Linked DNA regions of Saccharomyces cerevisiae S288C. The gene in region 1 interacts genetically with each later gene. Each region holds a gene or a part of one and is shown in the gene's direction. Other genes may lie near its edges. The genes, in order: UTR1, SPE1, PDB1 and STP1.

Region 1 (7,698 bases):
TCGGTTTCTACTGCGATACATTTCTTCCCCTCTCGTGATTTCTAGATAATAGCTTATACAAAGACACTTCGGAGTTACTCTAGGACTATTTCAGTTTTTTTTCACTAACTTCGTCCCAATCCTTTATTCCATTTTTGCTTCCATAAATAAGTTTTCTTATTTTCCAGAAAAAAAGAAAAGAAACTGCGCAAGCCCGGAATCGAACCGGGGGCCCAACGATGGCAACGTTGGATTTTACCACTAAACCACTTGCGCTCACTAATTGTTAAACGTGTCAATTATGTGTACAGTTACAAAATAATGAAGCACAAGAGACCCTACTATTACGTTAACATAATTTACTGCGCAAGAAGATAATATGAATCGTGTAGAAAAGTCATTCAGTTTGTTAGAAGAGGGAACATTGACATTGATAATGTAAAAGGATAGGCAATGGTGACACTTCAACGCAAAGAAGAAATTGCAGTATTATCGTGTAGAATCATGCTCTCTCTTGTAGATTCCTATATCGTCGGGGAGAAACCTCTACCATATTCTGTAAACCTAATACTATAGCTTTTCCCAACAAGATATATTCTTCATTTGGAACTCCAAAGAAAAGAAAAAATCGTATATCGTTACGGAAAGAAATAGCAAACAGTATATCCTATCATGTCGCATTAATTATTGAAATGTAAAGTACGTTGCAAAAATATCTTTTATTTCCCTATAAATTCTCAGTACAATTTTGCTATGTTATCCGCAGCTGTCTTTCCAAAGACAACACACTCTAACAAACTAGATCCACCCAATCTGTTGGCTCCATGAACACCACCCGAAACTTCACCAGCAGCAAATATCCCATTAGATAGAACGCTTTCCGAATTTTTCTTAATTACCTGAGATTTCTCATTAATTTTCACACCACCCATTGTGAAATGAACAACTGGTGTAACTTCCCCAACATAAACAGTTGATTCAGTCGAAATATCTTTATCAAAGGCATTGATAATCAATGGCCTATCAAACGTATCCTTAGTATTAACATCGGAATAGCTCTTCAGTTCAGTTACCAGTTCAGAAGCTGTAGTTTGTAGGTCATATTGTCGGATCAGATCGTTGATTGACACTTTTTTGATTAAGTTTTTGGACATATAAAAGTTTATGTTATTCGTATAGTTCTCGTAGACTTTGTCGCTCATTACCAAAAGTGCTCTATTATCATTTTTCGGACATTTAGACTGTATTTCCATGGTTACTGTATCTCTGGTGCTCAATTCATTTGTAAACCTTCTTCCAGTGGTGGGATGCAATAAGATGCCGCCTAAACCCCTCAATGCCTCTGCAGCCAAAAACTTCCAGTTATTTTCACGGTCATTTGGATCAATGAAGCCGGTAGGGTGTACCTGCACTTGATCCATATCAATCAATTCGGCACCCAACTTTGAAAGGATTTTTTGACCATCACCTGTAGTCTGTTTGCCATTAGTAGTTGGCAAGTGAATCAAATTTGGTGAGTACTCTTTCAACATTTCCTTAGAGTAACCAAATCCACCTGAGCAAAACACGACATGGTGTGACTTCATGATTTTACGGTTTCCGTTCTCGTCCATATATACTACACCAGTAACATGACCTTGATTATCAAGCTCGATATCCACTACTTCACTGTTTAGCATAATCTGCACGAGATTGGAATCTTTGGAAGAGATATCCTTTAGTTTTTTTGATAACGCTTGCACGATTTCAAAACCTGGTGGTAATTTGCCAGAAGATCTATGGGTCCTTGGAACAGAGTGACCGCCCAATTGCGCAAGGAGGTCTAATTTCAAATCGAATTCTGTTTGCAACCACCTGATAGCACTCTTGGATTCCTTAGTCAACTTATCCATCAGTGATGGAACCCCTCTGCCTTTAGCCGAATGCAAAGTATCTTTCAAAAACAATTCGGGAGTGTCCATTACCTTTAAATTTTGTTGAGTGTCTGTGTGAGCACCATTAATACCACTAGAAGCCTTTATAGAATTCCCACCAATAGAAGCCGCCTTATCCAAAAGCACAACAGGAATTCTGTATTTACTAATGAGACGATTACTTGTGGTTAAGCCTGCCAAACCAGAGCCAATGACCACCACTGGTTGTTTCATTGACGTTTGATCTGTGCCACTTAATGTTCTTTTCAAAACTATTATCAATACGAATATTGAGACGTAAATGAAAACCCTTCTCACAGATCTAATCATTTTCCTAAGACTCGGGATGATATAGAATTATTAAGGTATTTCCTATCATAAAATCTTTCCCTTTTCGGCGGTTTTGTTTTAAATCTGGATTTCTAAGCAAAGGATTTTCGCTAGTTTTTTTTTTTCAAGTAGCTCGTAAAAAGAAAACGAGAGCTACTCCTGCATGATTCATATAAGATTTGACGAGTGTATAAGATACATTTGTATTGGTGTACATTATGAAATCTATGTAATCTACCTAAGCGTAAAAAGGAGATCTTGCCTTCGATAACTAGTACGGTGGAAGAATTACATTTAATAACGAACGGGACAATATGATATCATAGAAGAAAAAAAAATGAGTCCCGATCACTATTTTACTTCATATCTGCAGCTCGGACATGTTTGAAGATTATAATGCTTGTGATGGTCATTCGAAATAGTGCCTCTTCTAAATGTTTGAATAATTTTCCATAGCTAAAGGTTAAGTTCATCCATTAGTTTCTTTTTTCTTCTTTGCACTAACCAATGCTCCATATCTGCCAGAGTTGGTACATGGATTTCTTGTGTCTGCCTTGACATTTCTTCTTCATCTTCATTCACAGGCACATTATAATGTGCTTTCAAAATGGATGTCCAGTTAGCCTCAAATTCGGTTAAGGCGGCTGTGACTTTGCCATGGTAATAAAAATCATTTCTATCCTTCGGTATGCATTTGGTGTTTATAGAACCCCCATCATTCTGCCTTTGAGACTGCTTGAGCCATTCTTTTACTTCAGGCAATTCCAGGGCTCTTCCAAAATATCTCTTACCATTTATCAGCTTTCCTGAATTCATCAGCACATGACTGTCTTCTAACCTTTTCCTCTTGGTTTTTTTTTCCATAAGTGTATGGTCAATGTGCCACTGCCATCTCTTCCATTCTTTGAAAAGATTATTAAGTTCGTCGTTAAGTTCCGCAATCTGCATTTCATTTAAAGACGGATCATATATTCTTGTGCTTTTTTGTTTTATCTCTTTACTTACTTGTCGCTTCCATTCGTTGGCCTCTTTTATGGATTTTACCTTAGACACGTTCCTGGGCCTCTGGTAACGTGAATAATCCTTGTATCCACCTGCCGACTCTGCTTGCTGCTCTTGAAATCGTACCAGAACTGAGTTGGCCTTATCTACATTTCTACTCATTTTGAATGCACAGGTATCTGATTACTGATGTGGTGCGCCTTGCGATATAACGGTGTGTCACTTTTATTTGCTCTTTCATGCATCCTGAAATTATTTCACCGCACTACGCAAAGAGAACGGAGAAAAAGGTATAATAGGGCAAATGATCATTGACATCGTGATCGTAAGCCAAAAAAAAATACAATAGGCTCCCTAAATAAGTAGAGTAAAAGCTCTTGAGATGAAGGAGAATGACATGAATAATGGCGTAGATAAATGGGTAAATGAGGAAGATGGTCGAAATGATCATCATAACAACAATAATAACTTGATGAAGAAGGCCATGATGAACAATGAGCAAATTGATAGAACTCAGGATATCGACAACGCCAAAGAAATGTTGAGGAAAATATCAAGTGAAAGCAGCTCGCGCAGAAGCTCCCTGTTGAATAAAGATTCATCTCTCGTGAACGGCAATGCAAACAGTGGCGGTGGTACGAGCATTAACGGAACAAGAGGAAGTTCTAAGAGTAGTAATACACACTTTCAGTATGCCTCCACGGCGTATGGTGTAAGAATGTTGAGTAAAGATATATCTAATACCAAAGTGGAACTGGATGTGGAAAATTTGATGATTGTTACGAAACTCAACGATGTCTCACTGTATTTCTTAACAAGAGAGTTGGTAGAATGGGTTTTGGTACATTTTCCACGTGTGACTGTTTATGTGGATTCCGAATTGAAAAACAGCAAAAAATTTGCCGCTGGCGAGTTATGTGAAGATAGTAAATGTAGAGAATCAAGGATCAAGTATTGGACAAAGGATTTCATCAGGGAACATGATGTTTTCTTCGATTTGGTAGTGACTTTGGGTGGCGACGGTACTGTTCTTTTTGTAAGTTCCATTTTTCAGAGACATGTACCACCCGTTATGTCGTTTTCATTAGGGTCTCTAGGATTTTTAACAAATTTTAAGTTTGAACATTTCAGGGAGGATTTACCTCGGATTATGAATCATAAAATCAAGACAAATTTACGGTTGAGGTTGGAGTGCACAATTTATCGTAGACACCGCCCTGAAGTAGACCCAAACACGGGGAAGAAAATATGTGTGGTGGAAAAACTAAGCACACACCACATTTTGAACGAAGTGACCATCGATCGTGGTCCAAGTCCTTTTCTATCCATGTTAGAATTGTATGGTGACGGCTCATTAATGACCGTTGCGCAGGCGGACGGACTGATTGCTGCTACTCCGACTGGGTCCACGGCCTATTCTTTGAGTGCAGGTGGGTCATTGGTATGCCCAACCGTCAATGCAATCGCTTTAACACCCATTTGTCCACATGCATTGAGTTTCAGACCCATCATCTTACCAGAAAGTATAAATTTAAAAGTGAAAGTCTCGATGAAGTCAAGGGCTCCAGCATGGGCGGCTTTTGATGGGAAAGATAGAATTGAATTGCAAAAAGGTGATTTTATAACCATATGCGCCAGCCCATATGCTTTTCCAACCGTGGAAGCCTCGCCCGATGAGTTTATTAACAGTATCAGTCGACAACTAAACTGGAATGTGAGGGAACAACAAAAGTCCTTTACGCATATTTTGTCCCAAAAGAACCAAGAAAAATATGCACATGAGGCGAACAAAGTCAGAAATCAAGCAGAACCTTTAGAGGTAATAAGAGATAAATACTCTCTGGAAGCAGACGCTACTAAGGAAAACAACAACGGAAGCGATGATGAGAGCGACGATGAGAGTGTAAACTGCGAAGCTTGCAAATTAAAGCCTTCGAGCGTCCCAAAACCTTCTCAAGCAAGGTTTTCAGTATAATGTTACATGCGTACACGCGTTTGTACAGAAAAAAAAGAAAAATTTGAAATATAAATAACGTTCTTAATACTAACATAACTATTAAAAAAAATAAATAGGGACCTAGACTTCAGGTTGTCTAACTCCTTCCTTTTCGGTTAGAGCGGATGTGGGAGGAGGGCGTGAATGTAAGCGTGACATAACTAATTACATGATATCGACAAAGGAAAAGGGGCCTGTTTACTCACAGGCTTTTTTCAAGTAGGTAATTAAGTCGTTTCTGTCTTTTTCCTTCTTCAACCCACCAAAGGCCATCTTGGTACCAGGAATATATTTCTTTGGGTTAGTCAAGTACTCTGACATGTTATTTTCGTCCCACAACACGTTTTTCTTGATATTGGCATCTGTGTACGAATACCCTTCAGCTTGACCAGAGTGTCTGCCAAAGATACCATGCAAGTTTGGACCAACCTTATGTGGGCCACCCTTTTCCACGGTGTGGCATTGTAGACATCTAGTCTTGAAAAGTGTAGCACCTTTCTTAGCAGAACCGGCCTTGAATTCAGTCATTATTAATTTAGTGTGTGTATTTGTGTTTGTGTGTCTATAGAAGTATAGTAATTTATGCTGCAAAGGTCCTAATGTATAAGGAAAGAATATTTAGAGAAAAGAAGAAAACAAGAGTTTTATATACATACAGAGCACATGCATGCCATATGATCATGTGTCGTCGCACACATATATATATGCCTGTATGTGTCAGCACTAAAGTTGCCTGGCCATCCACGCTATATATACACGCCTGGCGGATCTGCTCGAGGATTGCCTACGCGTGGGCTTGATCCACCAACCAACGCTCGCCAAATGAACTGGCGCTTTGGTCTTCTGCCATCGTCCGTAAACCCCGGCCAAAGAGACCGGAAAGATCGGTGAAAACATCTTGATCTTGCTCCCGGGAATTTTAGATTCAGGTAGGAAATTGATTACATCAATACTGTTACCCTGAATCATATTCGACGATGTCGTCTCACACGGAAATATAATTCATTTCTTGGTTTTCCAAAAAAATTTTCATTTTTTTTCACTTTTTTGTTTCGTCCTCCTTTTTTTTTTTTTTTTTTTATTTTTTTTCCTGTGTTCACCTTTTTTTTTTTCAGTTGACATCTTTCTGCATTCTTTTCTGTGTTTTTTTTTTTTTTTTTCGTTTTTCCATTGTTCGTTCGTTGCCTGTTTTTTCGCCCTATTGTTCTCGAGCCTAAAAATTTTTTCCTTTCCTGCTTTCCTTTCTTCGTTCAAAGTTTCCTATTCCATTGTTCTCTTTGGTAAACTCATTGTTGTCGGAACTCAGATATATTCAGGTCAATTTACTGTACTTCAATTGACTTTTTTCTTGAAATTTCAACTTGCCTTTTCAACTTGTTCTTCTTTTTTAATCTTATTCTACACTTTAGTTCCCTTACCTTGTTCCTAATTATTGTCTAGCAAAAAGAAAACATACACCTATTTCATTCACACACTAAAACATGTCTGACGAAGAACACACCTTTGAAAATGCTGACGCTGGTGCCTCCGCCACCTACCCAATGCAATGTTCTGCCTTGAGAAAGAATGGTTTCGTTGTCATCAAAGGTAGACCATGTAAGATTGTCGACATGTCCACTTCCAAGACCGGTAAGCACGGTCACGCCAAGGTCCATTTGGTTACCCTTGATATCTTCACTGGTAAGAAGTTGGAAGATTTGTCTCCATCCACTCACAACTTGGAAGTTCCATTTGTCAAGAGAAGCGAATACCAATTGTTGGATATTGATGATGGCTACTTGTCCTTGATGACCATGGACGGTGAAACCAAAGACGATGTCAAGGCACCAGAAGGTGAATTGGGTGACAGCATGCAAGCTGCTTTCGATGAAGGTAAGGATTTGATGGTCACTATCATTTCTGCCATGGGTGAAGAAGCTGCCATCTCCTTCAAGGAAGCTCCAAGATCTGATTAGATATTTTAGATTTCTATAGCTTACAAAATACGCGATGTTTTTTTGATCTAGAAATCTTATTTATACATTTTATATAATATTATAATAATCATAATCATAATTATTCATCCTAACTAACTTCGTTCTGTTTCAGCTACGAAGTTGCCTTCATTATCGCTACGTTCGTGTTAATTGGTGTTTGATACCATAGTCACTTATGACGACGTGCAGAACTTTTTTTTTTGACGGATATTTTCCCCTCAATATGCCGAGGATGATTACTTTATAATTTGCCTTCTTTCGGTTCCTTCTTCTTTTTAATTTAGCTGACGGGAACATGTGTATATACCCCAGAAGAATTTAAACAGAAATTTTTTTGAGCATTTTACGAAAATATTAAAAACTAGGGCTACAGATATCAGAGAAAAAATTACTTATATGATGACAATAACTTAATATCACAGTCACTATCGTTCTCGCCTTTATATGCGCAGTGACAGCATTCGACTTTTCCTTGGAAGGGACCCGATCAACGAAACTTCAA
Region 2 (7,541 bases), on another chromosome or scaffold:
TGCAGAAAAACTGTTGCTTGCGCGAAGGGGGTAGCATTAAATATTATTCTGCAGTTGTTTGGATTAAAAAGCTGTACGAATTGGGCCAATTTGTTGGAGTCCGGATCATCCAAATGCGCTAATATCTTCTTCGTAAATGTGGCCGTTATTTGTGCTTGATTTGCGTCATTCATTACCATAGTATTACTATTGGTGTTCATATTTCTGTTATTACTGTTATTAGTTTGGCGTTTTGCCTGACGATCAGCCTGGTGGGGCCAAGTATATACTATAAAAACAGGTTAGTTACTTGCTCTATGCGTTTGCGCATCCTCTTTTTACTTTTTTTTTTTCAGTAAAGCCTAAGCATAAATCGTTTTATACGTACGACACGTTCAACTTTTCTTGGTTAGTAGTGGCAATCTCTGCAATACATACAGGGAGTCATGGTCTATCATCTTGTCCAATCAAAGAAGCATCGGTTCAGATCGAGCAAACTGTAGGGAGAAAGGAAAGTAGAAATGCAGAGTGTGCTATATGTCCAATCTCGGTTTTGTAGTTTGGATGTCATTAGAGATCTACCACCCAACCGGCTGCTTTCATGTGGAACAGAAAAGAAATCGGGGCGCTTCCTCTTCTGTATTCCTTTAATTAACGTTTTTATTCAGCCATCTAACCATCATACCCCCATACGGTAACAAAACCTCTTCTAAGAAAAGAAGTCTCTGCTCCTCCGCCATCTTATTTTTATTCGCTGCGCGCGTTTATTGTCGCATCGCTAGCCAGCAAAAAGTTGGTTGCCTTTTTTTACCTAAAAAAGACACATCTAACTGATTAGTTTTCCGTTTTAGGATATTGACGCCAAGCGTGCGTCTGATTTCTACGATATGTCTCTAATTTTGGAAGGGCCATTTTATTTTTGAGGATTGGGCTGATCATTTTCCTTACGTGGATTGAGCCAGCAATACAGATCATTATTAAACTGTTTTGTACATGATGTTAGTATATAATCGTAAAGCTTTTCTAATATGTATACCTTATACATGGAACTCCACAGAACTTGCAAACATACCAAAAATCCTTTATTCTTGTTCACTCATTTTACATCAAAAAATAATATTTCAGTTATTAAGGAAAATAAAAAAATAGATTAGAGAAGCATTTTGAAGAAATAGTATATTCTTTTATTGAACCTAAGAGCGTGATATTTTTACTCGAAATAAAATACGAAAAATCTATACACTCATCTTTCCGACTACTATTGGCTCCTGCTCAAAAAAAGAGGGAAAAAAAGCTCCAAAATTCTATCTTTTCCTATCGCTCCTGTCCTATCCTTATTACGTTCATTACTATTTTAATACTATCCATTCTTTTATTTTCAGTCTAAAAAAAACATTTCTCATAACGGGAAAAGCAAAAAAATGTCAAGCTTATACATCAAAACACCACTGCATGCATTATCTGCTGGTCCGGATTCTCATGCAAATAGCTCCTATTATGACAATCTTTTATTGCCTTCATTTTCCAATTTATCCAGTAATATCAGCAGGAACAATATCACAACCGATAACAATATAAATTCAGCAAGTCCTAGGAAGTATTCGTTTCATTCGCTCAATGTGTCGCCAATTCTTTCCCCAATATCTTTGGCTAACGAAATACTTGGAAAAAAATCAAATACTGCACCAGCATCGCCACATCATATGGATTACAATCCAATTTCCTCATTAACACCAGGCAATTCACCAGAATTCAACAAGGCAAGCTTATCTCAGATTAGTTTTACAAATCCATTGAACTATGGGTCTGGCTTAGGTTTTTCCTCTAATTCACAACCTCGACTACCATTGTTAGACAGGCTATCGTCCGTCTCTTTATCTAAGAGACCGGAGCGCCCACAACAAAGCCTACCATCACTAAGGCATCTGCAATTATTACCCAGTCCTCTTTTACAAGAAAACGCAGCACGCTTCCCTGATACATCAAAACGTACATCTAATTGGAAAACTGATCTTACCCATTGGTGTAAGGATACAAACTATCAAGACTATGTTAAAATACGCGAAGAAGTGGCTCATTTCAAGCCATTAAGTATACCCAACTTAACTAATAATCAAAATAATGATAGTTTCAATTACGGCAAGGAATTGGAATCGACTAGGTCGTCCAAGTTCCATTCCCCGTCTAAGGAATCATTTGATCGTACCAAACTAATTCCTTCGATTCTAGAAGCTAAAGATCAATTTAAAGATCTTTCCAACAATGCATGGAGTATTACTCCTCCCGTCACACCGCCGATGAGTCCACCAACCAATAGAACCATGGAGCGCACGACGCTTAGAGGAGTAGAGGCCTCTTTTTTTGAGGGGAAATCCAGCAATAACGATTCAATATTCAATCCAATTATTAGTGAAAAATTGGTTCAAGAAGTTAAACATCAAAGACAATTACGTGGAAATTCATTTCCCATGCCAAATGCCAGTCACAAAAAGACGAACAGTTTCAAAGCTTTGCAAATAAAAAAATTGCTTGCGAATAGAGACATTCTATCGAACAATTCCAAATCTAATGTAAGGAAACCATCTAAGAACAAAATCTCAAAGCAAGCATCAAATGTTTTCGGTAACACTGCAAGACAATTGGTGATGAAACTCGACAACGCTAGTTACAGTTCTGTCTCTGCATCTTCATCTCCATCTCCCTCCACACCGACGAAAAGTGGCAAGATGAGATCAAGATCATCCTCACCTGTGCGTCCCAAGGCATACACTCCAAGCCCAAGGTCACCCAATTATCATAGATTTGCTCTCGACTCTCCCCCTCAAAGCCCTCGAAGATCATCAAATTCAAGCATAACGAAAAAGGGAAGTAGAAGGTCCAGTGGCTCATCACCCACTCGTCACACCACAAGAGTGTGCGTGTCGTGTCATTCGAGTGATTCGCCCTGTTGGAGGCCATCGTGGTCGCCAAGAAAGCAAGATCAGCTATGTAACTCTTGTGGTCTTCGATATAAAAAAACACATACAAGATGTTTGAACGATTTATGTCGTAAGATCCCCACAAAGGGTGAAATAAACATTATGAAATCCAATGGAATAGACAAAGAATTCGTCCCCGAACGCAACTGCGAAATTGAAGGGTACCGTTGCTTATTTTGTAATTACATAACTGAGACAGTAGAGAATTGATACATGGATAACTGAATCTCTTTCAACTAATAAGAGACATTATCACGAAACAATTGTACATTTCTCTCCTTGTCTGTGCTAAATAAACTACAAATAAAAATTCATTTTCTTTCATTTTCATTCGACACGCCGCGGCATCTTCGTTTTCTTCACCGATTAATTTTAATCTGCGCCGTGCAGATATTTTCGCCCATTTCGAAGTGAAATCATTCTAATAACTTCTCCTGCGCAATAGATTGGTCATCCTGATTTTTATTCTGAAATCGAAAATGAAAAGCATTTATTGCACTGAAATAGCGGAACCTGCTTCTAATAAGCTTAAAATTCAATCATAATAGTGTAGTTAATAGAAAGGACAGAAGAACTTTTCGTTCCTTGGTTTATCATCCAGGTTTCAGCACGGCTTTTGTTTCAAGTTTAAGTAGGTAAGATTTTTTGATTGTTCTACAACTTTTTCATAGTAATCAAAACCTTTGAATTTCAAACTTACTATGTCTAGTACTCAAGTAGGAAATGCTCTATCTAGTTCCACTACTACTTTAGTGGACTTGTCTAATTCTACGGTTACCCAAAAGAAGCAATATTATAAAGATGGCGAGACGCTGCACAATCTTTTGCTTGAACTAAAGAATAACCAAGATTTGGAACTTTTACCGCATGAACAAGCGCATCCTAAAATATTTCAAGCGCTCAAGGCTCGTATTGGTAGAATTAATAATGAAACGTGCGACCCCGGTGAGGAGAACTCGTTTTTCATATGCGATTTGGGAGAAGTCAAGAGATTATTCAACAACTGGGTGAAGGAGCTTCCTAGAATTAAGCCATTTTATGCCGTCAAATGTAATCCTGATACCAAGGTTTTGTCATTATTAGCAGAGTTGGGCGTTAATTTCGATTGCGCTTCCAAAGTGGAAATTGACAGAGTATTATCGATGAACATCTCGCCGGATAGAATTGTTTACGCTAATCCTTGTAAAGTAGCATCTTTCATTAGATATGCAGCTTCAAAAAATGTAATGAAGTCTACTTTTGACAATGTAGAAGAATTGCATAAAATCAAAAAGTTTCATCCTGAGTCTCAGTTGTTATTAAGAATCGCTACCGATGACTCTACCGCTCAATGTCGACTTTCCACCAAATATGGCTGTGAAATGGAAAACGTAGACGTTTTATTAAAGGCTATAAAGGAACTAGGTTTAAACCTGGCTGGTGTTTCTTTCCACGTCGGTTCAGGCGCTTCTGATTTTACAAGCTTATACAAAGCCGTTAGAGATGCAAGAACGGTATTTGACAAAGCTGCTAACGAATACGGGTTGCCCCCTTTGAAGATTTTGGATGTAGGTGGTGGATTTCAATTTGAATCCTTCAAAGAATCAACTGCTGTTTTGCGTCTAGCGCTAGAGGAATTTTTCCCTGTAGGTTGTGGTGTTGATATAATTGCAGAGCCTGGCAGATACTTTGTAGCTACAGCGTTCACTTTGGCATCTCATGTGATTGCGAAGAGAAAACTGTCTGAGAATGAAGCAATGATTTACACTAACGATGGTGTATACGGGAACATGAATTGTATTTTATTCGATCATCAAGAGCCCCATCCAAGAACCCTTTATCATAATTTGGAATTTCATTACGACGATTTTGAATCCACTACTGCGGTCCTCGACTCTATCAACAAAACAAGATCTGAGTATCCATATAAAGTTTCCATCTGGGGACCCACATGTGATGGTTTGGATTGTATTGCCAAAGAGTATTACATGAAGCATGATGTTATAGTCGGTGATTGGTTTTATTTTCCTGCCCTGGGTGCCTACACATCATCGGCGGCTACTCAATTCAACGGCTTTGAGCAGACTGCGGATATAGTATACATAGACTCTGAACTCGATTGAAGGATATATTTAACCACGACTTTCGCAAGAGAGACGGAGGGGGTGGGAAAAGGCTGAATGCAACCATTGTCACTAAGAATTTGAGTGTTCATGAACGAGTTATACACGCTATTTAAGAGTCAGAGAATGATGATTCAAGAAAATTCTGGCATTTTTCCTGTCCACCACTGTACGCCATTGTACACAAAAGTATTTTTTTATATTTTTTTTACAATTTTTTATAATTTTTTTTTATGTTTAGTGTATATTTGCTAGAAAGAAACAAGATCTTTTTTGGTAGTGTAAATGCTTAAACTTTGTCTCTTTTTCCTTTTTACTTTGGAAAAATGCCGACGCAAGAACATAGACATCTGCGAAAACCAAAAATAAAGTACCAATTGTACATACAAAAACAGAGAAAAAGTTCATGAACAGAACGTTACTACGGTATAGCAAGATCTTTGAATACATCCATTACTTCGGATTGTTCACCATACTTCAACACAGGCCAAGATAGACCATAGCTACAGTGATAGACGAATATTTATTTCAAAAGAAGCATCAACCATAAAATAAAAAGAAAAATGATGAAAAAAAAACCAAAGTGCCAAATTGCAAGGACCAAACCATCGGTCGAAAACGTCATACCATATAACCAATTCAAGAAGACGCAGCCGCGATTCAACGGCAACTTTTCTGCACTGAATAATGAAGAATACATAATACTCTTTGGCGGAGGTCGGGACCTGATACTAGGCTCCCTGACACCTTGTTCGAGCTCTCATTTGTCCAATCAAGCCAACCCACAAGACACCAGTGAGTATGGCACAGACCTGTTTATACTCAACAGCTGCATTATCATTTGGTTCAATGGCTTGGGATATGGGCTGGAAATTCCCTACAGCAGCGTTTTGTACCATGCATCAAGACGGCTACCAGATGGTAGGGAAGGGCTTCAATTAGAAATTTTGCTGACTTTGGAAAGAGACGAAGTGTTGGACATGCTCTACCAAAGCCTCGCGCCACAGGCCTGCGAATTCGACGGCGAAGAAGCACATGCCTTCACCGTGCGCAGCGTGGAATTGACTATCAGGCCCAAATATTCAATATACGATCGCCATTATAACAACGAAATCGAAACCCTTTTCACCTTCGAAAACTTCGGCGTGAACAGGGGCGATGACCTGGTAAACAATTGTAACGAAGCACTAGCCGTATGCATGGACCTGCACGGTGAGGACGTACAAGATCAAGACCAGGAACAATACCAAGATCCAAGCATGGCGTTTGAGGGTGCGCAAGATCTCAACGCCACGTATTCTGGGCTTGGAGACACCCTTCACGGGCCGCCCGTGTATCAGAACGACGGGCTGGCAGACGATCTGGATGGCGACCTCGTTATGGACAACGTGGTCTCTAGGGGTGGTCCAGAAGCAAGTATGTCTATGGAGTTCTACGCAAATCAAAATCTTGCTGGCAGAAAGAACTCCAGAGACAATGAATGAACAACATCTATTATGGGAACATCCCGCTGTACTATGCGGTCTCGTCCTCTACGAATATGGCTATTTGCCTTCGTATATACCTTTCTATACCAAGTAATGAATGTCTTGAGGGCCCGTATGGCCGCGCGAAGGCTTAGTTAAGATGTTTCAGCAAACGGCAGCATGTGAAAAAACCCGTAGAAGGTCCGCATCAGCCTTCCATGCCCGTGCACCCACGGCTCCTCGGAGGCCGGGTTATAGCAGCGTCTGCTCCGCATCACGATACACGAGGTGCAGGCACGGTTCACTACTCCCCTGGCCTCCAACAAACGACGGCCAAAAACTTCACATGCCGCCCAGCCAAGCATAATTACGCAACAGCGATCTTTCCGTCGCACAAGTTAAAAGAAATTGTTGAAAAATACAAATAATCGCGAACAATACGTTGTTGCTATTTAACGCTTTTGGTCTGACAGTAAGTGTGCCTTTCCCAATCACCGAAAAGTGTTGAACGATTCACTGCGACAATAATCAGAGATTACAGTCGGCATTTTGGCATTTTTGGCATACTTTTTATCGATTGAACCATCTTCTCCAAACACTTTTCCTTTTTCCTTCTATTCTGCAGGACCAACTAAAACTGGGTATATATATCATTATCTATATATATAAACGGCTTTCAACAAAGTTATAGGGGAAAACTAAAAATATAAGAAAAAAAAAGGTATTGATTGATAAGGAAAAAGAACCAAGGGAAAAATATAAAAAAGTACATTGGGCCTTTTCATACTTGTTATCACTTACATTACAAAGAAGAACAAACAACTTTTTTAAACGAATTTTCTTTCTTCCTTTTTCAATTTATTAATTCTTTTTTTCCATACAATTCAAGGTCAAATATATTCTTATATGCTCTTTGAATATTTCTGAAAAATATATAAAGAAAAGAAACTACAAGAACATCATCCGGAAAATCAGATTATAGACTAGGATTCCGCTCTTTTTAGTATATTTATTCG
Region 3 (7,536 bases), on another chromosome or scaffold:
TGGAAGAGCGTCAGGTATAGTGCTGAAATGGAGAATATGGCTCCGGTCAACAGTAACAATGATAGCGACGACTGCGTCATAGTCAGTGAATCGAAAATCATTGATTTGACTAATCAGGAACAAGATTTGAGTGAGAGAATAGAAACAAACGATACGGCAAAAGGTGCCGTTTTTAAACTAATGAAATCGGACTTCTATGAAAGAGAGGATTTTATGGGAGAAGTAGAGGATATGATTACATTGAAAGATATCTTTGGCACTGAGACACTAAAAAGAAGCATACTCTTCAGTTTCCAATACGAACTTGATTTCTTGTTGAGACAATTCCACCAGAACGTAGAGAACATAACCATCGTCGGCCAAAAGGGTACTATTATGCCTATCGAAGCCCGTGCTATGGACGCGACACTGGCAGTAATATTAAAAAAGGTCAAACTTATTGAAATAACGATGCCCCCATTCGCTTCCCACCATACGAAGCTGATCATAAACTTTTACGATAATGGCGAATGCAAAATATTCTTGCCATCTAACAATTTTACGTCAATGGAGACTAACCTGCCTCAACAGGTGTGTTGGTGCAGTCCCCTTTTGAAAATAGGTAAAGAAGGGCTACCAGTACCGTTTAAGAGAAGCTTGATAGAATACCTCAATTCGTACCACCTGAAAGACATTGACGAATTGATTACAAAAAGCGTAGAGGAAGTTAACTTTGCTCCTTTGAGCGAATTAGAATTTGTATATTCTACGCCCTCCAAATTTCAGTCGTCGGGTTTACTGTCGTTTTACAATAAACTAGAAAAACTTTCTGCTGGCACAAGTGCTAGTGATACTGCAAAACATTATCTATGTCAAACTTCATCCATAGGGACATCTCTATCAAGAGCGCGAGACGAAAACTTATGGACACATCTAATGATTCCTCTGTTTACCGGAATCATGTCCCCTCCAGCAAAGGACACCGCTGGGAGGAAGAAAGCAGAAATACTGCCAACGAATTCATTGATTAATGAATATTCGCAGAGAAAAATCAAGCCGTACATTATTTTCCCCACCGAACAAGAGTTTGTCACCAGTCCCTTAAAGTGGTCCAGTTCCGGGTGGTTTCATTTTCAATATCTTCAGAAAAAGAGCTACTACGAAATGCTGCGAAACAAGTTCAAAGTATTTTACAAGCAAGACCCTGCTATGGTTACTAGAAGACGAGGGACGACGCCCGCGCACTCTAAGTTTTACATGCATTGTGCAACAAACTCCGCAGGGCCCTGTGATGCATCGCAGGTATTTAAAGAACTAGAATGGTGCCTTTATACTTCGGCAAACCTCAGCCAAACAGCATGGGGCACCGTTTCAAGAAAACCACGCAATTATGAAGCAGGAGTGCTTTACCATAGTCGCAGGTTAGCAAATACCAGGAAGGTCACGTGCCGTACTTTTACACGTGACCGTAGAGGCTGCGCGGGTAATCCCACCCATGTGGCCGTGCCATTCACGCTGCCAGTCATACCATACGACTTAGCTGAGGACGAGTGCTTTTGCCTTGCTCGTCATGAGAACGACTAACAAGTAAGAGCGCGATGTTGCTGTCCACTTAGGCATCACTATATGGGGCCAGGAATGGCAAATTTACTTGATAAACTTCAGGCGATTGGATTTTGGTGCTCAGAATATTTTTTTCTCGGGCCGAAAGCGTCTTTAACTATTCCGAGCTAAAGCTTCCGAGTCCTTTATTCGGTCTTTTTTTATTTTTCAAGATTAACTGTATATAAATAGAGATGGTATGATTAAAAGCTCTTTTTAATAGATGCTCCTTCTTGAAATTTACTCCCACTGTGCTGCAAGAGGTTAGACGCTTCACGCACATTTTTGCTACAATGACAAGTGCCGCTACTGTTACTGCTTCGTTCAACGATACTTTTAGCGTATCCGATAATGTCGCCGTTATTGTTCCTGAAACGGACACTCAGGTGACCTACAGGGATCTATCCCACATGGTGGGTCACTTCCAGACCATGTTCACAAATCCTAATTCTCCATTGTACGGAGCTGTTTTCAGACAAGATACAGTGGCGATATCCATGCGTAATGGGCTGGAATTTATCGTCGCTTTCCTCGGTGCTACTATGGACGCTAAAATTGGCGCGCCCTTGAATCCCAATTATAAGGAAAAGGAGTTCAATTTTTATTTGAATGACCTGAAATCTAAGGCGATTTGCGTCCCAAAGGGTACCACAAAGTTACAGAGTTCTGAAATTCTAAAATCTGCCTCCACGTTTGGATGTTTTATCGTAGAGCTGGCCTTCGATGCGACCAGGTTTAGGGTAGAGTATGATATATACTCTCCAGAGGACAACTACAAAAGGGTTATTTACCGGTCTTTGAACAACGCCAAATTTGTCAACACAAATCCCGTTAAATTCCCTGGGTTTGCCCGTTCCAGTGACGTTGCCCTGATTTTGCATACCAGTGGTACCACCTCCACTCCAAAAACGGTGCCTTTGTTACATTTGAACATTGTGAGAAGCACGTTGAACATTGCTAACACTTACAAGCTAACGCCCTTGGACAGATCTTATGTCGTGATGCCTCTTTTCCACGTCCATGGGTTAATTGGTGTTTTACTTTCCACTTTTAGAACTCAGGGTTCTGTTGTGGTTCCCGATGGATTCCATCCAAAGTTATTCTGGGACCAATTTGTTAAGTACAACTGTAATTGGTTCAGTTGCGTTCCCACAATAAGCATGATTATGCTGAACATGCCCAAACCAAACCCTTTCCCACACATTAGATTCATCAGATCGTGTTCTTCTGCTTTGGCTCCAGCAACGTTCCATAAGCTGGAGAAGGAATTCAATGCACCTGTCTTGGAGGCCTATGCGATGACCGAAGCATCACATCAAATGACCTCAAACAATCTGCCTCCAGGAAAGAGAAAGCCTGGTACTGTGGGCCAGCCACAAGGAGTCACCGTCGTCATTCTAGATGACAATGACAATGTCTTGCCCCCGGGCAAAGTCGGCGAAGTTTCCATCAGAGGCGAAAACGTCACTTTGGGGTATGCTAATAATCCAAAAGCTAACAAGGAGAACTTCACCAAGAGAGAGAACTATTTCAGAACCGGTGACCAAGGTTATTTCGACCCTGAGGGGTTTTTGGTCCTTACAGGCAGAATCAAAGAGCTTATCAACAGGGGTGGTGAAAAGATTTCACCCATTGAGCTCGACGGCATTATGCTATCGCATCCAAAGATCGATGAAGCCGTTGCATTTGGTGTTCCCGACGATATGTACGGCCAAGTAGTTCAAGCCGCCATTGTTTTGAAGAAGGGAGAAAAAATGACCTACGAAGAACTGGTGAACTTCTTAAAGAAGCACCTAGCCTCTTTCAAAATTCCAACCAAGGTGTACTTTGTTGATAAGCTACCAAAAACCGCTACAGGTAAAATCCAGAGAAGAGTTATCGCAGAAACTTTTGCTAAGAGCAGCAGAAATAAGAGTAAGTTGTAGGCAGTATCCTGTACAATTTTATGCTCTCTGAAAGCTTCTATCTGGCACCCGTTTATATACGCCAATACTTATGTATTTTATCTATCTAATGAAACCACAGTATTTATCATGCCTAAGCTGATTCTTTTTCGTCGCGGCTGTTTCCGGGGTCTGTTTTCCGAGACTTCGAAGTGGGAGAACATGCAAAAGAGACGAGTCTTCAACTAAGAAGTTCTCCGTCATTAAAAGTCATGCGTTTGCACGTTTGCAATAAAAAGAGGTGTATCTACATATACAGGTTAACGATTGCAACAGCGACTCTTGATATTATCTCTGTCAAGTTTCTTCCTTTTGTTAGACTAATTTAGTATCATTTACACACTCGGACGTTAAATTCCGCCTCCCTCATAACAGTTCCTGTGTTTGTTCATTGATAATCGATCGCAGTTTAGTAAGTTCTTTTACTTTTGCAATAATTTTGTTCAACATGTTTTCCAGACTGCCAACATCATTGGCCAGAAATGTTGCACGTCGTGCCCCAACTTCTTTTGTAAGACCCTCTGCAGCAGCAGCAGCATTGAGATTCTCATCAACAAAGACGATGACCGTCAGAGAGGCCTTGAATAGTGCCATGGCGGAAGAATTGGACCGTGATGATGATGTCTTCCTTATTGGTGAAGAAGTTGCACAATATAACGGGGCTTATAAGGTGTCAAAGGGTTTATTGGACAGGTTCGGTGAACGTCGTGTGGTTGACACACCTATTACCGAATACGGGTTCACAGGTTTGGCCGTTGGTGCCGCTTTGAAGGGTTTGAAGCCAATTGTAGAGTTTATGTCGTTCAATTTCTCTATGCAAGCTATCGATCATGTTGTCAATTCCGCTGCAAAGACTCACTACATGTCTGGTGGTACTCAAAAATGTCAAATGGTCTTCAGAGGTCCTAATGGTGCTGCAGTGGGTGTTGGTGCTCAACATTCACAGGACTTTTCTCCTTGGTACGGTTCCATTCCAGGGTTAAAGGTCCTTGTCCCTTATTCTGCTGAAGATGCTAGGGGTTTGTTAAAGGCCGCCATCAGAGATCCAAACCCTGTTGTATTTTTAGAGAACGAATTGTTGTACGGTGAATCTTTTGAAATCTCAGAAGAAGCTTTATCCCCTGAGTTCACCTTGCCATACAAGGCTAAGATCGAAAGAGAAGGTACCGATATTTCCATTGTTACGTACACAAGAAACGTTCAGTTTTCTTTGGAAGCCGCTGAAATTCTACAAAAGAAATATGGTGTCTCTGCAGAAGTTATCAACTTGCGTTCTATTAGACCTTTAGATACTGAAGCTATCATCAAAACTGTCAAGAAGACAAACCACTTGATTACTGTTGAATCCACTTTCCCATCATTTGGTGTTGGTGCTGAAATTGTCGCCCAAGTTATGGAGTCTGAAGCCTTTGATTACTTGGATGCTCCAATCCAAAGAGTTACTGGTGCCGATGTTCCAACACCTTACGCTAAAGAATTAGAAGATTTCGCTTTCCCTGATACTCCAACCATCGTTAAAGCTGTCAAAGAAGTCTTGTCAATTGAATAAATAAACTTCAATCCAATAGGAAGGAGAGAAAGAAGGAGATAGGGAACTTTTTTCCCTGTACCCTACACTTTCTACCCTCTTCGCGGAAATAGTACTAATGAGAAAAACATAAATAATATTTTGCTAATCAAGACATGTATGGCGTACTGGTTATTAGTAGATATATAACTGCAAATACACACATACATACAATGTATATATTTTGTTTTTACAAAATTGAATGAGATAAGTACTGTGCACATTGAATGAGTTCCTGTTTCATGGTTAGAATACGCACATATTTATTTTCTTTTTTTTCTTTTCGACGACAGGCTGAATGAAAGAAAGAAAATAAAGATACTCTGGCATGCGAAAATAAGTGAAAAATAAATCGGCTATAATGCGTAAGCTACTGTGGGAAGCAGAAGCAAGACCTAAACGTTTGGTGAGGCAGTATAATATACCATAGTTATAGGGGGATAAAACAAAAGTAGGCATGGAACCTAAGCGAAAGAGCGGGTCACTAGCCAAGCATGATTTGCCGCAATTTTATCTTTTAATTATGTTATATTTGGCTCAAGGCATACCTGTAGGATTGGCCTTCGGTACCGTACCGTTTCTACTGAAATCTTTAGCAAAGGAGACCTCGTTTACATCACTGGGAATTTTCTCTATGGCTACATATCCATATTCTTTAAAGATCATATGGTCACCAATAGTAGACTCACTGTACAACAAGCGCATCGGTAGAAGAAGATCATGGATCATTCCAGTACAATTTGTTAGTGGATTTGTGCTATGGGCATTAGGGTGGTGCATATCACAAGGCATAATCTTCGATGGTGTCGACGATGCGTTCCATAATCGCGGTAATGGCACTTTACACAGTGTCAGTATAAAAAATTTGACGTGGTGGTTTGGCCTGTTAGTTTTTCTGTGTGCCACTCAAGACATCGCAGTTGATGGTTGGGCGTTGACGATTTTGTCCAAAGAATCCCTATCATATGCATCTACCGCGCAAACAATAGGTTTGAATATTGGTTATTTTATGTCATTTACCATTTTCCTGTCGTTGAATTCCTCTGATTTCGCCAATAAGTATTTCAGAAACATCCCACTGGATCACGGGTTCATTAGTCTTGGTGGGTACATGAAATTCTCGGGCATGCTTTACATTGTAATAACCATATATATCATCTTTTGCACCAAGGAAAAACCCTACGTAGAGTATTTGCCCAAAGTGGAGCCCATAAATACAAGTGACGGAGGGTCAAAGCCGATAAGTATTGAGTATGACGACGGTGATGTGGTGTCAACTCAGAATACAAGCAGTATAAAGTACATTTACCGCTGCTTTATAAAAGTGTTGAAATTGAAGTCCGTAAGAAGCCTAGCCTTCATTCACATGATTTCGAAATTTGCCTTTCAATGCAACGAAGCCGCCACAAACCTGAAACTACTAGAGCAAGGCTTCAAAAGAGAAGACTTGGCTGTGACAGTACTCATAGACCTGCCGTTCGAAATCATATTTGGGTACTATGTTGTTAAATGGAGCTCCGACAAGGACCCCATGATTCGTGACAATAGAAGATTAAGAAACAGCACGGGCACCAACAAGGTCATCAAGTTCTTAGTTGGGGATGCCGGCGTTTTAACACCATGGTTGTGGGGCTTTTTGGGCCGTCTGGCAGCCGCGGTCTTGGGAAGTTACGTGGTGAAGCAATTCCCCAAGGATGGTGAAATATCCACGGGTTATTTTTGTCTCGTGATATTCCAGCACCTCTTAGGTTCCTTCATGAATACTGTCCAGTTCATTGGAATATCGGCCTTCCATACAAGAGTTGCAGACCCCGTGCTGGGTGGCACATATATGACATTGTTAAATACCCTCAGCAACTTCGGTGGGACATGGCCGCGGTTAATCATTATGTCCATGATCAACTACTTCACCGTGTATCAGTGCACTATTCCTGGCACAAATAAAGTATACGTAACTCACGGCGGCAGCATGCAAGCGTGCACCGAGCTTTTGAATGGCACCGTGACCATCCTGCGTGACGGCTATTACATCACCAATCTCATATGTATTGTAGTCGGACTTTTCCTATATTTTGGATATTTGAAAAGGAAAATCCTCCATTTACAAAGTCTGCCAATCAGTTCCTGGAGATGTACGTAACGACCCCTCAAACAAGAATTGTACGACATTACGTTCAAGAAAATTTTAACGAGTATCGTAATATTTACAAGATCTTTTTATGTACTACAGGAAGCAGAAACAAAATGAGTATCAATACCAGTGTAAATCTGTTAATGAGAATCATCACATTATCCCAGTTTTTTCCATGCAAGGGAAAAATATACTATACGACATTTCTATACTTTAATTATCAATTAAGGTCATCTTTCTGTACGAAAACTAACCACGATTGTCACTAACGACGTGTCCCTTACCCGACGCAGCTGCTGATAGCGTACCGCACA
Region 4 (7,708 bases), on another chromosome or scaffold:
GTAAAAAATACTCGATGCCAACAAACTTGCGGTTAATAACCATCCAAGGATGGCAAACACTAACGTTGAAATTATATTTGCGTTTAAATTGGGGCTATAATTATGATTGTGTTGAGTAATAATTCTTATGTAAACGCAAATAGACACCCACATGATAAGTAAAAGTGTTGAAAAATAAGCAGCAAACTGCACAAAGAGTCTATAATTGTCTCTACCAATAACAGTCCCTATCCACATGCAGTAATGATCAAAGCGAGGAATGCAGTGGCCTAGTTCTGAAGAATGATGCGTTCGTTCCATTTTCAGACTTTGACATTCACTGCACCATATTGGGTATCCGTGAGGATCAGACTGATAACACTTAGGCGGAACCACAGCATCGTATTCCACTGAAGTGTTTTGAGAAGTGTTGCTAGTCTTCTCTTCAGAGGCTATAGGAAGGATCAAAAAAGGTGCTACGTGCGGTTGGGTACCTGGACCGACCAAGATAACTATTTGAAGCCATATGAAAATCACGACTACGTCTAGGAAGCATACCGCACAAATAAGACCAACCGAAACTGATTTCTGACGAAGTCGTTTGTCGACTTGCTCGTAACATAGTTTATGGCAGTAAGCCCACGTACCGTAGCACAGTAAACCGAGCACGATAATCGGTAAGATGAATCTAAACCATGACCTGCGCCTGATTCGAATATTCCATGATAGAGCCATTCATATACAACGGTTTAATTTCTGCCGTGTCGCGATGAAAGGACCTTAGCTAGGTTCTGAAAATATTACAACGGGCAGATATACGCCTAATTAGTTGTTTTGTTTGAGTGCTGTGTTTATGCTACTATTATTTAAAACGTAAATAGTGGAAAAAAAAATCGACTAAATGGTCCAAATCGGGCCGTTCGCTCGTAAATTTGTTCTTAAGCACTAATACTAAAGAGAGTATACAACAGAACAGACGCACAAGACAGCACTCATCATCAGCTAAGAAACTGAACTGCTTGTTAAAATTTGAGTTTGTTTCCTCTTAGGATTTGCAGCATTAGTGGGCCCCCGCACACAAGTAAATATAAGTGAAAGAAAAATGCTTATGGATGAGTATGAGGAAAACAAGGACATGTGTCCGATCTGTAAGACAGATCGATACCTTTCTCCGGATGTGAAATTTTTGGTGAATCCTGAATGCTATCACAGGATCTGTGAGTCGTGTGTTGATCGAATATTTAGTCTCGGTCCTGCCCAGTGTCCATATAAAGGGTGTGACAAGATTCTTAGAAAGAATAAGTTCAAGACCCAAATATTCGATGATGTGGAAGTTGAGAAAGAAGTTGACATCAGGAAGAGAGTGTTCAATGTGTTCAACAAAACTATCGATGACTTCAATGGTGACCTTGTGGAATATAACAAATATTTGGAAGAGGTGGAAGACATTATATACAAACTAGATCACGGGATCGATGTGGCTAAGACCGAGGAGAAACTACGCACCTACGAGGAATTAAACAAGCAACTGATTATGAATAACTTGGAGAGAAGCAGAACAGAGATAGAAAGTTTCGAACAGAGACAAAAATTCGAAAAGGAGATGAAATTGAAGAAGCGACTGTTGGAAAGACAAATCGAAGAGGAGGAAAGAATGAACAAAGAGTGGACAAAGAAAGAAATCGTCAACCGGTTGAGTACGACCACCCAGGATATCAATGAAACAATCGAAGGCGTTAAAAATACGGTTAAATTGAAAAAATCGTCCGCTAGAAGGAAATTGGAAGAACTAAATAGAGTTCTGAAAAACAATCCATATTTCAATTCAAATGTGAACGTACAGAATTCGAGACTCAAAGATGCTGTACCGTTCACGCCGTTTAACGGTGATAGAGAAGCACACCCAAGGTTTACGTTGAAAGGTTCAGTATACAATGACCCATTCATCAAAGATCTTGAGCACAGGAAAGAATTTATTGCGTCTGGGTTCAACACTAATTATGCGTACGAAAGGGTGTTGACAGAGGCATTTATGGGCTTAGGATGTGTTATATCCGAGGAGCTTTAAAACATCAGGATAGTGTGCAACGTGGCATAAGCTATGTAATCAACTACTTTTTATTTTCTATGTACGCATATACATGCATTCACGATCTGTTTCAGTGTTCAGAAAAAAGGCACCTACTGCTACGGTTGGCCCATACCTTTATTCTTTGTTCTTGTTACAAACGAGTGTGTAATTACCCAAAAAGGAAATTTACATGTTAAATGAAACCCAGTAATCAGAAAAAACAGTTAAGAAACCTAAAATGGTAGAGATAAAGATACAGATTCAGTGGTTGCTGAAAATCAAGTAAAAAAATGAAATAGAGTCTTCATATATAAACCGCCAGAAATGAATTAATGAGAGGGATCTGTAACTGTTTCTCGGATAAAACCAAAATAAGTACAAAGCCATCGAATAGAAATGCAACCATCTACCGCTACCGCCGCTCCAAAAGAAAAGACCAGCAGTGAAAAGAAGGACAACTATATTATCAAAGGTGTCTTCTGGGACCCAGCATGTGTTATTGCTTAGTTTCTGCGTACAAAAACGTTGTTCTCCCTCCTTTATCTTCCTTTTCCGCTACACCAATATATCATGTTTGTTCGTAATATTTCTTTTTAGACCTAATAATAAATATCCTAAGTAACTATATTATATAAAATATTTTGATACCCTGTACCTGCTTTTGTTATCGTTGTACATCCATGCACACGCTCATATATATATATATATATATATATATGTATATGTACATATACCGCTTACCACCTACCGTGAAGTATATGTAAGGGTCTTCGCACCCGGATATCCCTTGTGGGATCTTGGATGCGGATGGTGAGTGTAAACAGGCCTCATAAAGCTGTCTCTGTGTGCGGAAGATGTCGTTTCATCGGCTTCGACCTCCTCCTTATCTTGCTTCATTGTTTCTTCGTAAGAGGGCGGATCTACGGGCAGCGGGGTCGCTGTCTCCTTGTATGCATGCTTATTTATATCACTCTTTCCGCTATCCATCATAATCTGTTTTTGTTTATGTGCTTTGAATACTCAACACATAAAATAATATCCAGTTAATTGTCGTCTGTCCATTGACGCTTTGCCTTTGTCCCTTTAGACTGTCTTTATTGTGAAATATGCACGGCTGAGAATTACGTATACAGTGACTATCGTATGGGGCGACAAAAGTTCCCAGCGAGAAACAAGATGAAGCAGACTGGGGCCTGCCTGTATGGAGGGAAGCATAAGTTAATATACCTCCAGATATTTGCAGATTAGGATACTGAACTGACGAAGACCTACGCTACACAACGAAGATAACACATGCTGGCACAAACATTCAAAAAACCACACAGAGCCGTTCTAGAACAGGTATCTGGGACCACGGTCTTCATCAGAAATAAGAGAACAAAGAGCAAGAGCTCACTGTCACCTTTGGCACAAAGGGTCGTCACGCAGTTGAGTGTGATGTCTGCAAGCAGAAAGCAGCCCAAGTTGCTGAAGCTGGCGCGTGAAGACCTGATTAAACATCAGACCATTGAGAAGTGTTGGTCAATTTATCAGCAGCAACAACGGGAGCGCAGAAATTTACAGTTGGAATTACAATATAAGAGCATTGAGAGATCTATGAACCTTCTACAAGAACTCAGCCCTCGTCTGTTTGAGGCTGCCAATGCTTCCGAGAAGGGCAAGCGATTCCCGATGGAAATGAAGGTGCCCACTGACTTCCCCCCAAATACGTTATGGCATTATAACTTCCGAAAATGATAGCGTGAGCGAACGCTTGACTGTCTCCTGCTGTAAATAACTGATGATCAATAGAATGCCACGTATATATGGACTTATATAATTATATGTACATAGACATATAAAGGGCATGTGGTAATTATGACATGAACTGTATCACTATTGACGTTTTTTTTACTGCTTTTTCCCATCCCTGCAAGCGAAAAAAAAAGCAAGCTGACTCTTGTATAAACTGCAAGGACTCATTGATTAAAAGTAGATTTACATTACAGACTAAAGGAAAAGGCAAACTATACCGGCTATACCACATTCGTTCAAAAATGCCCTCTACCACGCTACTGTTTCCGCAGAAACATATTAGGGCCATTCCAGGCAAGATATACGCGTTCTTCAGAGAGCTCGTCAGCGGAGTTATTATATCCAAGCCAGATCTAAGTCATCATTATTCTTGTGAAAATGCGACAAAGGAGGAAGGCAAAGATGCAGCAGATGAAGAAAAGACTACCACAAGTTTGTTTCCCGAATCAAATAATATAGACCGTTCTTTAAATGGTGGCTGCTCTGTGATCCCTTGCTCCATGGATGTCAGCGATTTGAACACGCCAATATCGATCACACTATCTCCTGAGAATCGTATCAAATCAGAAGTAAATGCCAAGTCACTGCTCGGATCAAGGCCAGAACAAGATACAGGCGCCCCTATCAAAATGTCTACTGGTGTCACAAGCTCTCCATTAAGTCCATCAGGCTCCACCCCAGAACATTCCACCAAGGTCTTGAACAACGGCGAAGAGGAGTTCATTTGTCACTACTGTGACGCTACTTTCAGGATTAGAGGATATCTAACGAGACATATTAAGAAGCACGCCATCGAAAAGGCGTATCACTGTCCATTTTTTAACAGTGCCACTCCTCCTGATCTTAGATGCCACAATTCGGGTGGTTTTAGCAGACGCGATACTTATAAAACTCATTTGAAGGCAAGGCACGTGCTGTACCCCAAAGGTGTTAAACCACAAGACCGTAACAAGTCGTCCGGCCATTGCGCTCAATGTGGTGAATACTTTTCCACCATTGAAAATTTCGTTGAGAATCACATTGAGTCTGGGGACTGTAAAGCTTTACCGCAGGGGTATACCAAGAAAAATGAAAAAAGATCTGGAAAATTAAGGAAGATCAAGACATCTAATGGTCATTCTAGATTCATATCCACTTCGCAAAGTGTTGTAGAACCTAAAGTACTTTTCAACAAGGATGCCGTAGAGGCTATGACCATAGTGGCTAATAACAGTTCGGGCAATGATATTATATCCAAGTACGGAAACAACAAATTAATGTTAAACTCGGAAAACTTTAAAGTCGACATACCCAAGAGAAAGAGAAAATATATCAAGAAAAAGCAGCAACAGGTATCTGGATCGACGGTAACCACACCAGAGGTAGCTACACAAAACAATCAAGAAGTGGCACCTGATGAAATCTCATCCGCCACAATTTTTTCACCTTTTGATACTCATCTACTCGAGCCCGTCCCTTCTAGTTCATCGGAATCTTCCGCTGAAGTTATGTTCCATGGCAAGCAAATGAAGAATTTTTTGATTGACATAAACAGCTTCACAAATCAACAGCAGCAGGCACAAGATAATCCTTCGTTCCTGCCACTCGATATTGAACAATCTTCATATGATTTGAGCGAAGACGCAATGTCATATCCCATCATATCCACACAAAGCAACCGTGATTGCACGCAGTATGATAACACAAAAATCTCACAAATCTTACAATCACAACTAAATCCAGAATATCTCAGCGAAAATCACATGAGAGAGACACAACAATATTTGAATTTTTACAATGACAACTTTGGGTCACAATTTTGATTAAATATAACACGGGATAAAAATAAGGGTATCATATTGGAAAGCCGATGGGTAAAAATTATTGAGTTAATAAATGGAGACAATATTAAAAATCAGGTAACAACAAATAAAAGGTTATAAATGTACTGCTGTATACTATATAAAAACTTTTAGCATGACTAATTAATTTTCATACTACTATGTTAAATAAACCAAGTGATTGCAACACCAATATTTTATTATTGATCTTCAGCGCATAGAGTCGATTCGTAGATATTATCACTTTTGACGTTTGTGATTTCTTTTTCATGATTGATTACCGATGATGCTATAACAAATAAAGGTCAAATTTTGAAAACAATGAAAAATAAGTAGTAAACAAATAAATGCACATTTATTGACACTAGTAGAGTGTAAGAGGAAAGTAATTTTTAGAACGCTTTATACACCTCTATCATTTATTTTTTTTTTGGTAAAAAAAAAACAGTAAGGTGTTAACCATATATCATATTCTGCCATGGCTTATGATGAAGATGATGGAGAGATAAATTTTAATGAACTTGTGGGGAACTTACTAAGCTCACATAACCAAGAGGGACAAGAGGAAGGAGAAGTGCAAGGAGGAGAACAGGAAGGAGATGATTTTGAAAAAATATATCCTACCAGTGAAAATATAGAACCAAAGCATCCAGATGACAGCCAGCATATGCATAATTCTCCTGACCAGAATATCGAAATACCACATTTTGTCGACGAAGAAGATGAGCTAGTATCTGTCGTTGCAAATGCGGTTCAAAATATAGACGATGAGCAAGCCAAACCGGAAAATCATCTGGAAAATGGATCAGAACATGTAACATCGGATACAGCGGATGATAATCACGAAAAAGAACAACAGCAAGAATGGGCTCATATCTTACAGCAGGAAATATTAAAATCAGACGGAGAGCCCTTGCGGGAGAATACAGAAAGGCGTGTAAGCACTAGTCAGCACCATCCCTCTCAGCGTACTGATGACGCTCTCGACCAAGATGATGAAAATTTGAGGATGGCTATCCTAGAGTCTCTACAAGAATTAAACACAAATGAGGAGGAAGAGAAAGAGCCGGAAAAACATGAGCATGCTGCCCCGAATGATAAGTTGAGCAGCAAAAAATCTTCAAAGAAAAAGAAAAAAGATAAATCCAAGAACAGAGAATCATCAAAGGATAAATCCTCAAAGAAGAGTAAATCTTCGAGCCATTCCAAAAAGCATGCCAAAGACCGTAATAAAGAAAAGCAAAGTAAACCTACTAATAATGAAAATACCCTTGATTTAAGTAATATACTAGAAAATCTGATTCATGAAAATGACAATGCTGCAATAGACACTGCCAAACAAACAGTTGATATTCAAGATAACTCCCATACTGATAATACAAACAACGAAGATGTGGAAGCGCAAGCTTTAGTGGAAGCGACACTAAAAGCATTTGAAAACGAGCTGCTAAGCTCTGCGCCAACCGAGGAGCCTTCACAAGAACAGTCGATTGGGCCTGTATCTTCTAGAAAAGCAGTTGAACCACCACGAAAACCGACTGCAGACGATATTCCATTGGCTATGTTACAGGCTTTTAAACCGAAAAAGAGGCCTCCTCAAGAGAAGAAAAAAACAAAAAGTAAGACATCCAAGGCTGCATCTACAGCAAATAAATCACCTGCATCTGAATCTACCTCCAAGAAAAAGAAAAAGAAGAAAACTGTAAAGGAAAGTAATAAATCTCAAGAAGCTTACGAAGATGATGAATTTTCCAGAATATTAGCCGATATGGTTAACCAAGTGGTTAACACTTCATTAAAAGAAACATCAACGCATACTGCCACACAGGATAATAAATTAGAAAGCGAAAGTGATTTTACTTCCCCTGTACAAAGTCAATATACTACTGAGGATGCAAGCACAGCTAATGATGACTCGCTTGACTTGAATCAAATCATGCAAAACGCAATGGCTATGGTTTTTCAAAATCAAAACGACGATGAATTTGATGAGAACATTGTTGAAGACTTTAATCGTGGTTTAGGCGATCTGAGTGTTTCCGAT

Evidence for each region.
Region 2: mutations in UTR1 (region 1) and SPE1 together harm fitness more than expected from each alone (negative genetic interaction), as found in Saccharomyces cerevisiae (2 studies listed by BioGRID).
Region 3: mutations in UTR1 (region 1) and PDB1 together harm fitness less than expected from each alone (positive genetic interaction), as found in Saccharomyces cerevisiae (3 studies listed by BioGRID).
Region 4: mutations in UTR1 (region 1) and STP1 together harm fitness more than expected from each alone (negative genetic interaction), as found in Saccharomyces cerevisiae (2 studies listed by BioGRID).

Annotation. Positions count from the first base shown.
Region 1 is NC_001142.9:524,385-532,082, reverse strand, and holds UTR1 (NADH/NAD(+) kinase), read left to right. Parts: upstream 1-3,606; coding exon 3,607-5,199; downstream 5,200-7,698. Other genes in the region: UV-damaged DNA-binding protein RAD7, read right to left, coding at 1-21; OSM1 (fumarate reductase), read right to left, coding at 717-2,222; ISY1 (Isy1p), read right to left, coding at 2,679-3,386; CYC1 (cytochrome c), read right to left, coding at 5,419-5,748; ANB1 (translation elongation factor eIF-5A), read left to right, coding at 6,702-7,175. UniProt on the Saccharomyces cerevisiae protein: Specifically phosphorylates NAD in the presence of ATP, dATP, or CTP as phosphoryl donors.
Region 2 is NC_001143.9:93,099-100,639, forward strand, and holds SPE1 (ornithine decarboxylase SPE1), read left to right. Parts: upstream 1-3,658; coding exon 3,659-5,059; downstream 5,060-7,541. Other genes in the region: MTR2 (Mtr2p), read right to left, coding at 1-200; DNA-binding transcription repressor ASH1, read left to right, coding at 1,401-3,167; YKL183C-A (uncharacterized protein), read right to left, coding at 5,297-5,509; LOT5 (Lot5p), read left to right, coding at 5,623-6,543. UniProt on the Saccharomyces cerevisiae protein: Catalyzes the first and rate-limiting step of polyamine biosynthesis that converts ornithine into putrescine, which is the precursor for the polyamines, spermidine and spermine.
Region 3 is NC_001134.8:662,690-670,225, reverse strand, and holds PDB1 (pyruvate dehydrogenase (acetyl-transferring) subunit E1 beta), read left to right. Parts: upstream 1-3,972; coding exon 3,973-5,073; downstream 5,074-7,536. Other genes in the region: TDP1 (tyrosyl-DNA phosphodiesterase 1), read left to right, coding at 1-1,563; PCS60 (Pcs60p), read left to right, coding at 1,875-3,506; YBR221W-A (uncharacterized protein), read right to left, coding at 3,584-3,688; YBR220C (uncharacterized protein), read left to right, coding at 5,549-7,231; YBR219C (uncharacterized protein), read left to right, coding at 6,923-7,223. UniProt on the Saccharomyces cerevisiae protein: The pyruvate dehydrogenase complex catalyzes the overall conversion of pyruvate to acetyl-CoA and CO(2).
Region 4 is NC_001136.10:1,382,730-1,390,437, forward strand, and holds STP1 (Stp1p), read left to right. Parts: upstream 1-4,086; coding exon 4,087-5,646; downstream 5,647-7,708. Other genes in the region: palmitoyltransferase PFA5, read right to left, coding at 1-714; TFIIH/NER complex subunit TFB3, read left to right, coding at 1,082-2,047; MFA1 (mating pheromone a), read left to right, coding at 2,447-2,557; CMI8 (Cmi8p), read right to left, coding at 2,795-3,037; mitochondrial 54S ribosomal protein mL40 MRPL28, read left to right, coding at 3,344-3,787; SPP41 (Spp41p), read left to right, coding at 6,143-7,708. UniProt on the Saccharomyces cerevisiae protein: Transcription factor involved in the regulation of gene expression in response to extracellular amino acid levels.